2 linked regions of the Schizosaccharomyces pombe genome follow. The gene in region 2 interacts genetically with the main gene of each other region. Each region holds a gene or a part of one and is shown on either strand. Other genes may lie near its edges. The genes, in order: pzh1 and nhe1.

Region 1 (5,014 bases), 1.5 Mb from region 2:
AAGCAACTGAGGAAACTAATCCATGGTTGCAAGTACCTGACCAAAGGACCTCTTCTGCCAAAAAGTTGGATAAAAACAGCTCTAAGGCAGACAAAAAGAATCACAAGTTAAAAATGGACAAAGTTGCCTCCCTTCAAGAACTTGTCGAAGAACCTAAAGTTCAGCCTGATTTAATTTTTGAAGAAAAGGCTTTTGAATCAGCGTCGGAAGCGGAATCGGATGTTGATGTTTCGGTACCTATGTTAAAGCCAACCAAAGGTCGTTTGTCAATTAAGCAGAGAGAGCTTGTTGCTAAAGCATTTGCTGGCGACGATGTTGTCGCTGAATTTGAAAAGGATAAAGAAGACTGGGTTCAAGAGGATGCACCGAAAGAAGAAGATCATAGTTTGCCCGGTTGGGGTTCATGGGGAGGTGTTGGCGTAAAACAAAGAAAGACTAAGCCTAAGGTTAAAAAAATTGCTGGACTAGATCCGTCAAAGCGGAAGGATTCTAAGCTAAAGCATGTGATTATTAATGAAAAACGCAACAAGAAAGCTGCTAAGCTTACTGCTGATAGTGTTCCGTTCCCATTTGAATCACGAGAACAGTATGAACGATCTCTTAACTTGCCTATGGGACCAGAATGGACTACTCGAGCTTCACATCATAAGGCTGTTGCTCCCAGAGTTGTTACCAAACGTGGTAAAGTCATTAATCCTATTAAGGCACCTAATTAGATTCTTATATGTACATTGAGTTTTGGATTTTTGTTATTAGATTGATATCTTTTGCAGTAGATTAGATACATTTGTAATGGATTTTGGGATATTGGGAAGAAATATATATTTTGAGGTAAATACTTTAAACAAGAAAAAAATTAATTCAATACAAATATATTAATATCATGAGGAAAATTAATTAAAATGGTTATAATTTACTTCGTTTTCTCCCGGAGTAAAGATAAGTGATTATAATTTGTTTCACAGCATCCACCGAGTATCAGGTTTCCATTATGTAGATTTGAGTATTTAGCCGTTATAGTTGACCATTCTTCAGGTGAAGGGGCAGGATGATCTGTTGAGCCAGGTGAAAAAGTACCGTCTGGATTTTGATACAACCCGCGGCCGTCAGGGTACAAAATAGCAGTTATGTTGGATGGTAAAAGACTGGATAGCATTTTTGCGATGGGTTCGAGTAAACTGAGGTGAAAGCAATTAACACCGATGCCCCATATAGAGTCATGATTGATGCTCAGTATCTTGGAGATAATGGACGATACTCGTTCAATAGTGCTGCGCTCAGGGCACGTACAGGTGATCCAGCAACGCTTAGACCAACCTTTCATATCTTGAATGAGTTGGCATACTACTTCTGCTTCAGTCACGTGAGGAAGGCTTTCAAATGCAATGAAGTCAATTTTTTCGAAAGCTTTAGGATTAGATGCTTGAATGGCTTCAATTCTGTTTTTATGAAAATTGTATAGCATTTCAAAATCGGTGGGTTTATCATAAATCATTTTGTATTCCATACATCCAGGAATAGTAGCAGCATGACTTCCGAGACATAAAGCAATATATTTGTTGGGCAAACCCAAATGTTCTCTAGCATAAACAGGTAACCCAATGCTGTTTGCGTAAACCTGTTTTAATGGTACACCTTCTACCTTTTCGTCGTAGATAGAAGCATCCAGTTGATAAGTGAAAGTACTAATAATGTCGCAAACTTTTAAAAATTCTTCATGATGCTTAACAACGATCTCTGGATAACGCACCAGTGCTTCAGAGGTCCATAATCTAGACTCAGATATACTTTCAGGAAGCTTTGGAAGAATGGCAGTAGAGCCACCGTCTAACATAAGCATTTTGGAAAACTCAAAAATTGGGAAAAATAGTTCAACGAACAGCAAAAATGGTATCTCAGGTTATACACTAGTATTAACAGATGTAACTGCCTTTTGATGGATATTACAACAGTTTAGAGAATATCGCACAATCAGAAACCCAATCGACCCAAAACAAAAACATTTGAGTAAGAATCAGACTAGTATATAACGTAACGCGAAATTTTTCCATATTTAATTTAACGTTAATTTACGTGGATCAATTGCGCCTTTTATTTTACTTTGGAATACACTGCAGTTATTATACAGTAAGTGCGCCATCATCGTTGCACCACACTAGATGGACCCAGCGAGTTCAGTTCTCGAGTAAGATGGAACGGGCTACTACGTCTATCAGATTTATACTACACTTCCCATCACTTGTTAACCCATTCTTCACCACGACCTTACAAATTTTTAAACGATTGTGTTTTGTCAGCAAAGCAAAACATTTTTATAGACCAGGATTACTTGAAGAAGAGAAAATCTACTAATTTACGGAAAATATCGAAAAATAGAAAAAATCTAGGTACAATTGGGAAACCTTTTAATTTTGGCACTAAATGCAAGCAACGAAGTCTCGATTTTGAAGTAAAAAAGAAAATAAAAATAGAACAAAGTGGAATAGTTTCCCGGAATCTACCATTAATTGAAATACAATGGGACAGGGGAGCAGTAAACACGCCGACAGCAAGCTCGATTCCTACCCATCCTTTTCTCGGTCAGACACTCAAGGATCCATTAAGTCTTTAAAGTCTCTGAAAACAGTCCTGGGGAAGGGCAAAGACTCGAATCATGATCGCCGAACGTCTACTGATACAACCCATAGTCGTCACCGGTATCCCGAAACACCACCAAGCCTTCCTCCTCCTCCTTCTCCTGGGATATTAGCTACATCTCCGGCTGTGTTGCAAAAGCATCAACAGGAGGATTCGGGAAATTCTTCTCAATCTCCGACGTCGCCGCATCCTTCTAACCAGCCTGCCATGCTTAGTCCCTCTACGGCCGCTTCCCAGCATCATCATCATCATTCTTCTTCTTCTTCTTATGCCGTTTCTCCAACATCACCTACCTCACCAACCAGCTCTGGCCCAATTGGCTCCAACTTTGATTCAGCTTCTGAGCATAATGGTCCTGTGTATCCACAAGATCAGCAGGGGCCCGTAATTATCCCTAATTCGGCAATTTCTTCTACGGATCCTGATGATCCTGAAACAGTTGTTAGCCTTAACGTAGATGAAATGATTCAAAGATTGATCCATGTTGGCTATTCTCGAAAAAGTAGTAAAAGTGTGTGTCTAAAGAATGCTGAAATTACCAGCATTTGTATGGCCGTACGAGAAATATTTCTTTCGCAGCCGACACTTTTAGAATTGACCCCGCCGGTGAAAATCGTTGGTGACGTTCATGGTCAATATTCCGATTTAATTCGACTGTTTGAAATGTGTGGGTTTCCTCCGAGCTCTAATTATTTATTCTTAGGCGATTATGTCGATCGTGGTAAGCAGAGTCTTGAAACCATCCTCTTGCTCTTTTTGTACAAGATCAGATATCCAGAAAACTTTTTCTTGCTACGGGGCAATCATGAATGCGCTAATATCACTCGCGTTTACGGTTTTTACGATGAGTGTAAAAGACGTTGCAATATCAAAATTTGGAAGACTTTCATAAACACCTTTAATTGCTTACCCATTGCGTCCGTTGTAGCCGGTAAAATTTTTTGCGTTCATGGTGGTCTTTCTCCATCGTTAAGTCATATGGATGACATACGGGAGATTCCTCGTCCTACTGACGTTCCTGACTATGGATTGCTGAATGATTTGTTATGGTCAGATCCTGCTGATACTGAAAACGATTGGGAAGATAATGAACGAGGTGTTTCTTTTGTTTTCAACAAAAACGTTATCCGGCAATTTTTGGCCAAGCACGACTTTGATTTAATCTGTCGTGCTCACATGGTTGTTGAAGACGGTTATGAATTTTTTAATGACAGAACTTTATGTACGGTGTTTTCTGCCCCTAATTACTGTGGGGAATTTGATAATTGGGGGGCCGTGATGAGTGTTAATTCAGAGCTGCTTTGTTCCTTTGAACTTATAAAGCCTCTCGACCAGGCAGCAATTCGACGAGAATTAAAAAAGAGCAAGCGTAGTGGTATGGCTATTTATCAATCTCCCCCTGCTGAGCAGGTTACCCAAAGCGTGTAAGCATTCTATTTTTTCTATTTTGGTCTCCATTTGAAATTATCTAGCGGTTTTATTGGGACACTATTTTATTCTCTTAAATGAGTATTATCTGTTATTATGTTATAGTCACTATGGTGATGGATCAAGTCCTTGGTTCACTTTATCGGTTCGAGGGCAATTCCATCCTGACACGTTTAGTATAAGTTTCTGTTTCTTTTAATAAAAACACAATCATTTCCATATAGTGACAGTTAACTTGCTTTTTATTTTTGCTAACCGACACCTGCTGAACATCGAAAGAGTAGGTAAAAAATTTACATGAGGAGGAAATAAACAATTATTATAGTATTATTATTAGCATTAAATAAATTTAAAGCGAAAATGTATCCATTTCTTTGTAAATCTTCTATCAATTACTAATCTCCCATACGATGGGCTTAAAACAACACTTTGAAAACTAAAGTTGAATGTGGTATCGTACTTAAGTACTTCTTTCCATGATCCATTTGTGATAAGTATTTTGGTTTCCTTATTGTATAATGAGTAAGCTACTTTTGTTGCATAATGCTGCCAAGTAGGCAGTTCTTTGATAAATCTCCTGCGTTGTTTTGTTTGTGTCAGCTTTTTCGTTCAATCAAGATATTTTATCACATTATTTCAAGGTTCAATGAATCATTCGAAGAATAGTAACGAATTCAGATATATTAAATAAAGGCACACATAATCTCTAAAGATTACAGTTTAATGGCTCTTTCAAAGTGTTTAGTAATATATACACTAAATTTCTAAAATTCAGTAGTTATGGCGAAGTGGCCGAGTGGTCTATGGCGCTAGCTTCAGGTGAAAGCAATTGCTAGTCTACGTATGTGGGCGTGGGTTCGAACCCCACCTTCGTCAATATAATTTTTTATATCATGTTAATGGAATTGAGAAAAAGCAAGCTGTCAGTTTATACTTTCAATGTTATGCA
Region 2 (4,584 bases):
ACATTTACGATATGATAAACTGCGGGGTGTTTCTCTGCAAAACATATGTATATATTTGGGATGAAGTTATGTTTAGTGAGAATTTATTGGTGCTAAAACTCAGTCCATACCGATTACTGTGTAATTATATTCTAGCTCATCTAAATAGATTGCAACTAAATTGGGAGCACCGGTTCAGTCGTACTTAGTTAATAACTGATCTAGGAGGAGATATTCAATACTTCATCTACTTCCAAAAGCTTTATACATACTTTGAAGCTACCTACTAATAGAAACACTATTTAAATATTACCAAGTCTTATAGTAGTTAGGCCCTTTGAAGTACGTTGATGTGTTTTAGTAGGTGAGATTTATCAAGTTTTAATTTGATTGCTATTTATATACACAAAGTAGCTATTGATTTTCCGTTTTCTTAGTTTCTTACATAAAATAGTATTAGTTTGTATAATTACAACAACAAATAATAAAATATTAGGTGATCCAAAGTAGACTTTGATGAAGCGTAAGGTGTTTCGTAAGATTGGTATTGTTTGAAGCGAACGAATATTGGTAAGTTTTAGCCATCAAAATAAATTACAAATTAAATAACGATTTGTACTTTTCTCAGTATCTTGATCAGTTTTAGAAATTATACAATATTTTTAGAGTAGTAAGAAAATAAATGAATTATAGAAGCCGAAAATTACTCTATTGTAGATAATATATATGTACAACAAAAATATACACTCCATCCCTGTTGGTGGTTAGCCTTGTGATTCTGAGAATCACTTATCTTATAGTATATATCAACTATAGAAGGAATTTCAAAATATGAGTGCAGTAATCTTTTTGACCAGAGACAGCGATTCACAATACATTTGAAAATAATTTGGAAATCCGAATTGACATTAAAAGAGCTTTCCTAAACGTAATCTTCCTGTGACTTATCAACCCCTATTACTTGTAACTCCAAATCGGAATCGGACTTGGTGACTTTTCGATTTAAATACAGACTTTTTAACTTTCCCCAAATCACTAATACATGGATACTGAAACCATGAACAATGATTGAGGATAAGATAACAAACGAAATGATCGGCCAAATTATTTCATTAAGTGTTGAAAATACTGTAGTTGATTCATAAATACTCTTTTCAATTTCATCCGGGGACAACAGTAATTTTGCAAGAAATGCCATATAAACTGCGCAAACCCCTATTGGTCCGAAATGTCCAACGAAAAGGGCTTCTTTCCATGTCTTAATGTCCGGAACTAAAGGCTTCACCGAAAATACAACCGGTAATCGACGACAAACTAGAGTCAATATGCTAAAGACAATTAAACGCCAAACAGGCAAGCCTTCAACAGACCAATTAAAATTATTCCAGGGAATGATTGTACCATAATAGGTAAAAAATAGTAAACTAAAAGTCTGATCAATAAAAGCAGGTACAGAACAAGCAGATATATTTTTGGAAAATAAATCATTCCAGTTAAATAATATTCCAGCAAAAAAGGACATCAACAGGTCATCAACTCCAATAATAGTTCCTATCCCAGAACATAATAAAGGTATCGCTAGCGGAAGGGAATAATAACTAATAGCATCAATTAAACGGTATTTCTGAGCGTGCTTTAAAATGAACGATAAAAGATACCCTATTACACACCCAAAAAATATACCAAATGCACATTCATACAACACAACAAGCAGCACCCAATCCCTCCCTGCATTCCTCGATGGCTTAACAGTAAGAAGTTTGATAGCAAAATAGAAAAAAGGAACCGCCATTCCATCATTACATCCAGACTCAGCGATCAATAAAGACCGAATCCGTTCAGGAGTCTTTTTAGCTAATGGACCTTCTCCTACAATCAATGCTGATAGAACAGGATCAGTAGAAGTTATACATCCTGCGATCAGCAAAGATCCTAAAAAGTTAATTTGTGGAAACAATGCATATGCAAATCCAGCTGTAACTAACCACCCGTAAGCCATAACTGGTAATAGCATTACAATGATGCTTCGAAAATTATGTTGAAAATATGCACCGGGGAGTTCTATTGCAGAAGCAAACACACGCACATCAAGTACGATTCTACAAATCTCTACTGTCAAGTAATCTCCATGGTCACCCCAGGAAAAAGGGTCTACGAGTTTAGCAGCATGAGGCCCAAATATTAATCCAGTGATACTTCCAAGAACTACACACTAGTATTAGTCTTATTTTATATCAATTGCTAATTTTCAAAAACCACCCTATACAATATCTTCAACGTACCAGCTTCTCCAACTAGTAATTTTTTTCGAAAAACTTCTGAAAAATAGCAGAAAAATGTTATAAATCCCCCGGCCACTATTAAAGCTAAATGGACTTTGTCTATATCAAGTTGTCTCCAGCCCATAGTAATTAGGCAATATCCACAAGAGAATGTTTTCTTGTAATAAATTCCTATAATATTTTTTTTAGAGTATTCGACATAAAATGTGGCAAAAGATACAGTTAGCCACGGACTGATGCGTGCATGCCTGTGGTTTATACTTGAGGACCGGGGTACCTTAGTTATCTTTTTGATTGGAGTAACAAAGCTTGTTACTTGGGTTTTAACGCTTATCAACTTAAAAAACATGCCTTTTAAGTAACTATTCAATTTTAAATTCACTGAGACTGATTAAGCACATTTGAGGTGGGCTGTTATATTATTTTTTTTTATACAATTTTAGCAGGATAGTGAATTGTAAATATTGTGCGATTGTTATACATCGTATGTTTATATAAATTTAGCACCATTAAATTGATTGAAAGGGTGTTGTGTACTCACTTGTAAGCTATTAATACCTCGGCAGCAAAAAGCTTTGATTATAACTTAGCTAAAAAGACCTGATTGGATTAAGGCATTTTATCTCAATATGACATAAGTGGCAATAAATCAAAAATATTGAAAATTCTTTCTATAGGATTTGATTACTAGTGTAACAGAAGTCAATCTTTTATACTACTTAAAAAAGGAAGTAGTGAGCATAAAACAAGCACTCTTGTAATTCAACCATATGTAGAGTTAAATTAGCAATGAAAAACTGTATGGGATTAACGAGAACGACGAAATTACACAAATATCCAGTTGACACGTTCTGTCAAAGGAATTGCCAGGCCTATAATCACATTGGTGGGGGAAACTTGTTAATTGATGAGATAACGGCCAAGGTATTGACTACCGAACACAGAAGGAATTTGGTATTTCGATTACGGGCAGGAGAAAAGTCATGAGCGAATGTTTGAACTTGTTCTTTTTCAGTGGACAATTTCTCCTCATGAACAACTTAGGAAGAATTCAAGAGCTCCTTTCATGTCAAATAAAACGAGAAACACTTTACGTTTAAATGAATCATTTGCTTTCATGCACAATGTGGTGGCAAGGTTAGTTACATAGACACAACCGAGTCTCACCCCATGAGTTGCAGATCCAGAATATAGAGCGTTTAAGGCCACTCGCTTACTTAATATCAAATTTCATACTATTTAGACTTTTATAAAAGACGATTTTCATTACTTCTAGCCTTTAAACAATAAACCGTTGTTATATATGAATATATATTATTTTCGCTGTAAAGCAAGCCTAATTTTTTACTTAGCTTGAACAAACGAGACTATAATTTGATGAGGTCAGCCCTAATCGTACCCAACAGATTGGTCACTGAATTTTTCGTATATTGTAATATCTGCCATTGAGCTAATTAATTTAAGAGGATAACAACCGAGACTTTATACAATTCTTTTTATTTTTTTATAGTAATAAAGAAATGTCATTTTTAAATATTTCTTTAAAAGCGCTGTTGATTGCATGTCATCTAGTACACTAGCTAGTTAACCCACTGTACCTAATGATACAGGATTGTAAACCTTATCAATTGGTCCAAAGACATAAGAATTTCGATAGTGAAGAGGGCCTGATATGTTTAATGAAACATGTCTTTCACCTAAAGTACGAGCTTAGCATCGTGGCTATAATATTTCTGAATGCACATTCATCATTTGGTAACGTAGCCTGATGGTACAGTACTAGAGTATCCAACGTACAAAGATTTATTTGGTACTATTACTGAACGTTTGTACTGCATTTCAGCATTCAAAAAGTAGGAGCTTCGATAAGCAACGCTGTTTGAATACAAGACTTATCTTGGCGGTGAAAAAAAGCTGTAAATGGCATTGCTAAAAATATGATATTAAAAAAAAAGCGAGTAGATAAAATGACCGATAAAATAGATATAAATAAATAGGAAAATACGAATTCTACTCTACAATTTTACTCTTATTGTGTAACAAATCACGCTGAAGTATCGCGGATGAGTAACTTGGCCAACTGACGCATGTATAGACAACTAAAGTTTATCTGCATATGTCAAAATGTTACTTGAAAATAAAAAAGGTCATAAACGAGCAGCGAAATTAAATCTGCACTTGCGAAACCGCGCACTATTATACTATTTATCTCCAACAAAAATAATTATTATACTGCTTAATAAATTATACGTTGCATAATAACAATATTTTCCATACAGCGTTTTCCCGTTCACTCTTTGCGGCGCCTCGCAAATAGCCAGAT

What was found.
Region 1: of nhe1 (region 2) and pzh1, a mutation in one rescues a mutant of the other (synthetic rescue), as found in Schizosaccharomyces pombe (one study listed by BioGRID).

Annotation. Positions count from the first base shown.
Region 1 is NC_003424.3:1,527,015-1,532,028, reverse strand, and holds pzh1 (serine/threonine protein phosphatase Pzh1), read left to right. Parts: upstream 1-2,256; 5' UTR 2,257-2,517; coding exon 2,518-4,065; 3' UTR 4,066-4,464; downstream 4,465-5,014. Other genes in the region: U3 snoRNP protein Utp14, read left to right, coding at 1-716; SPOM_SPAC57A7.07C (homocysteine methyltransferase), read right to left, coding at 914-1,840.
Region 2 is NC_003424.3:49,918-54,501, reverse strand, and holds nhe1 (plasma membrane/prospore membrane sodium ion/proton antiporter Nhe1/Sod2), read right to left. Parts: upstream 2,514-4,584; 5' UTR 2,386-2,513; coding exon 2,262-2,385; exon of another isoform or gene 2,185-2,261; coding exon 902-2,184; 3' UTR 644-901; downstream 1-643. UniProt on the Schizosaccharomyces pombe protein: Sodium export from cell, takes up external protons in exchange for internal sodium ions. Involved in regulation of pH.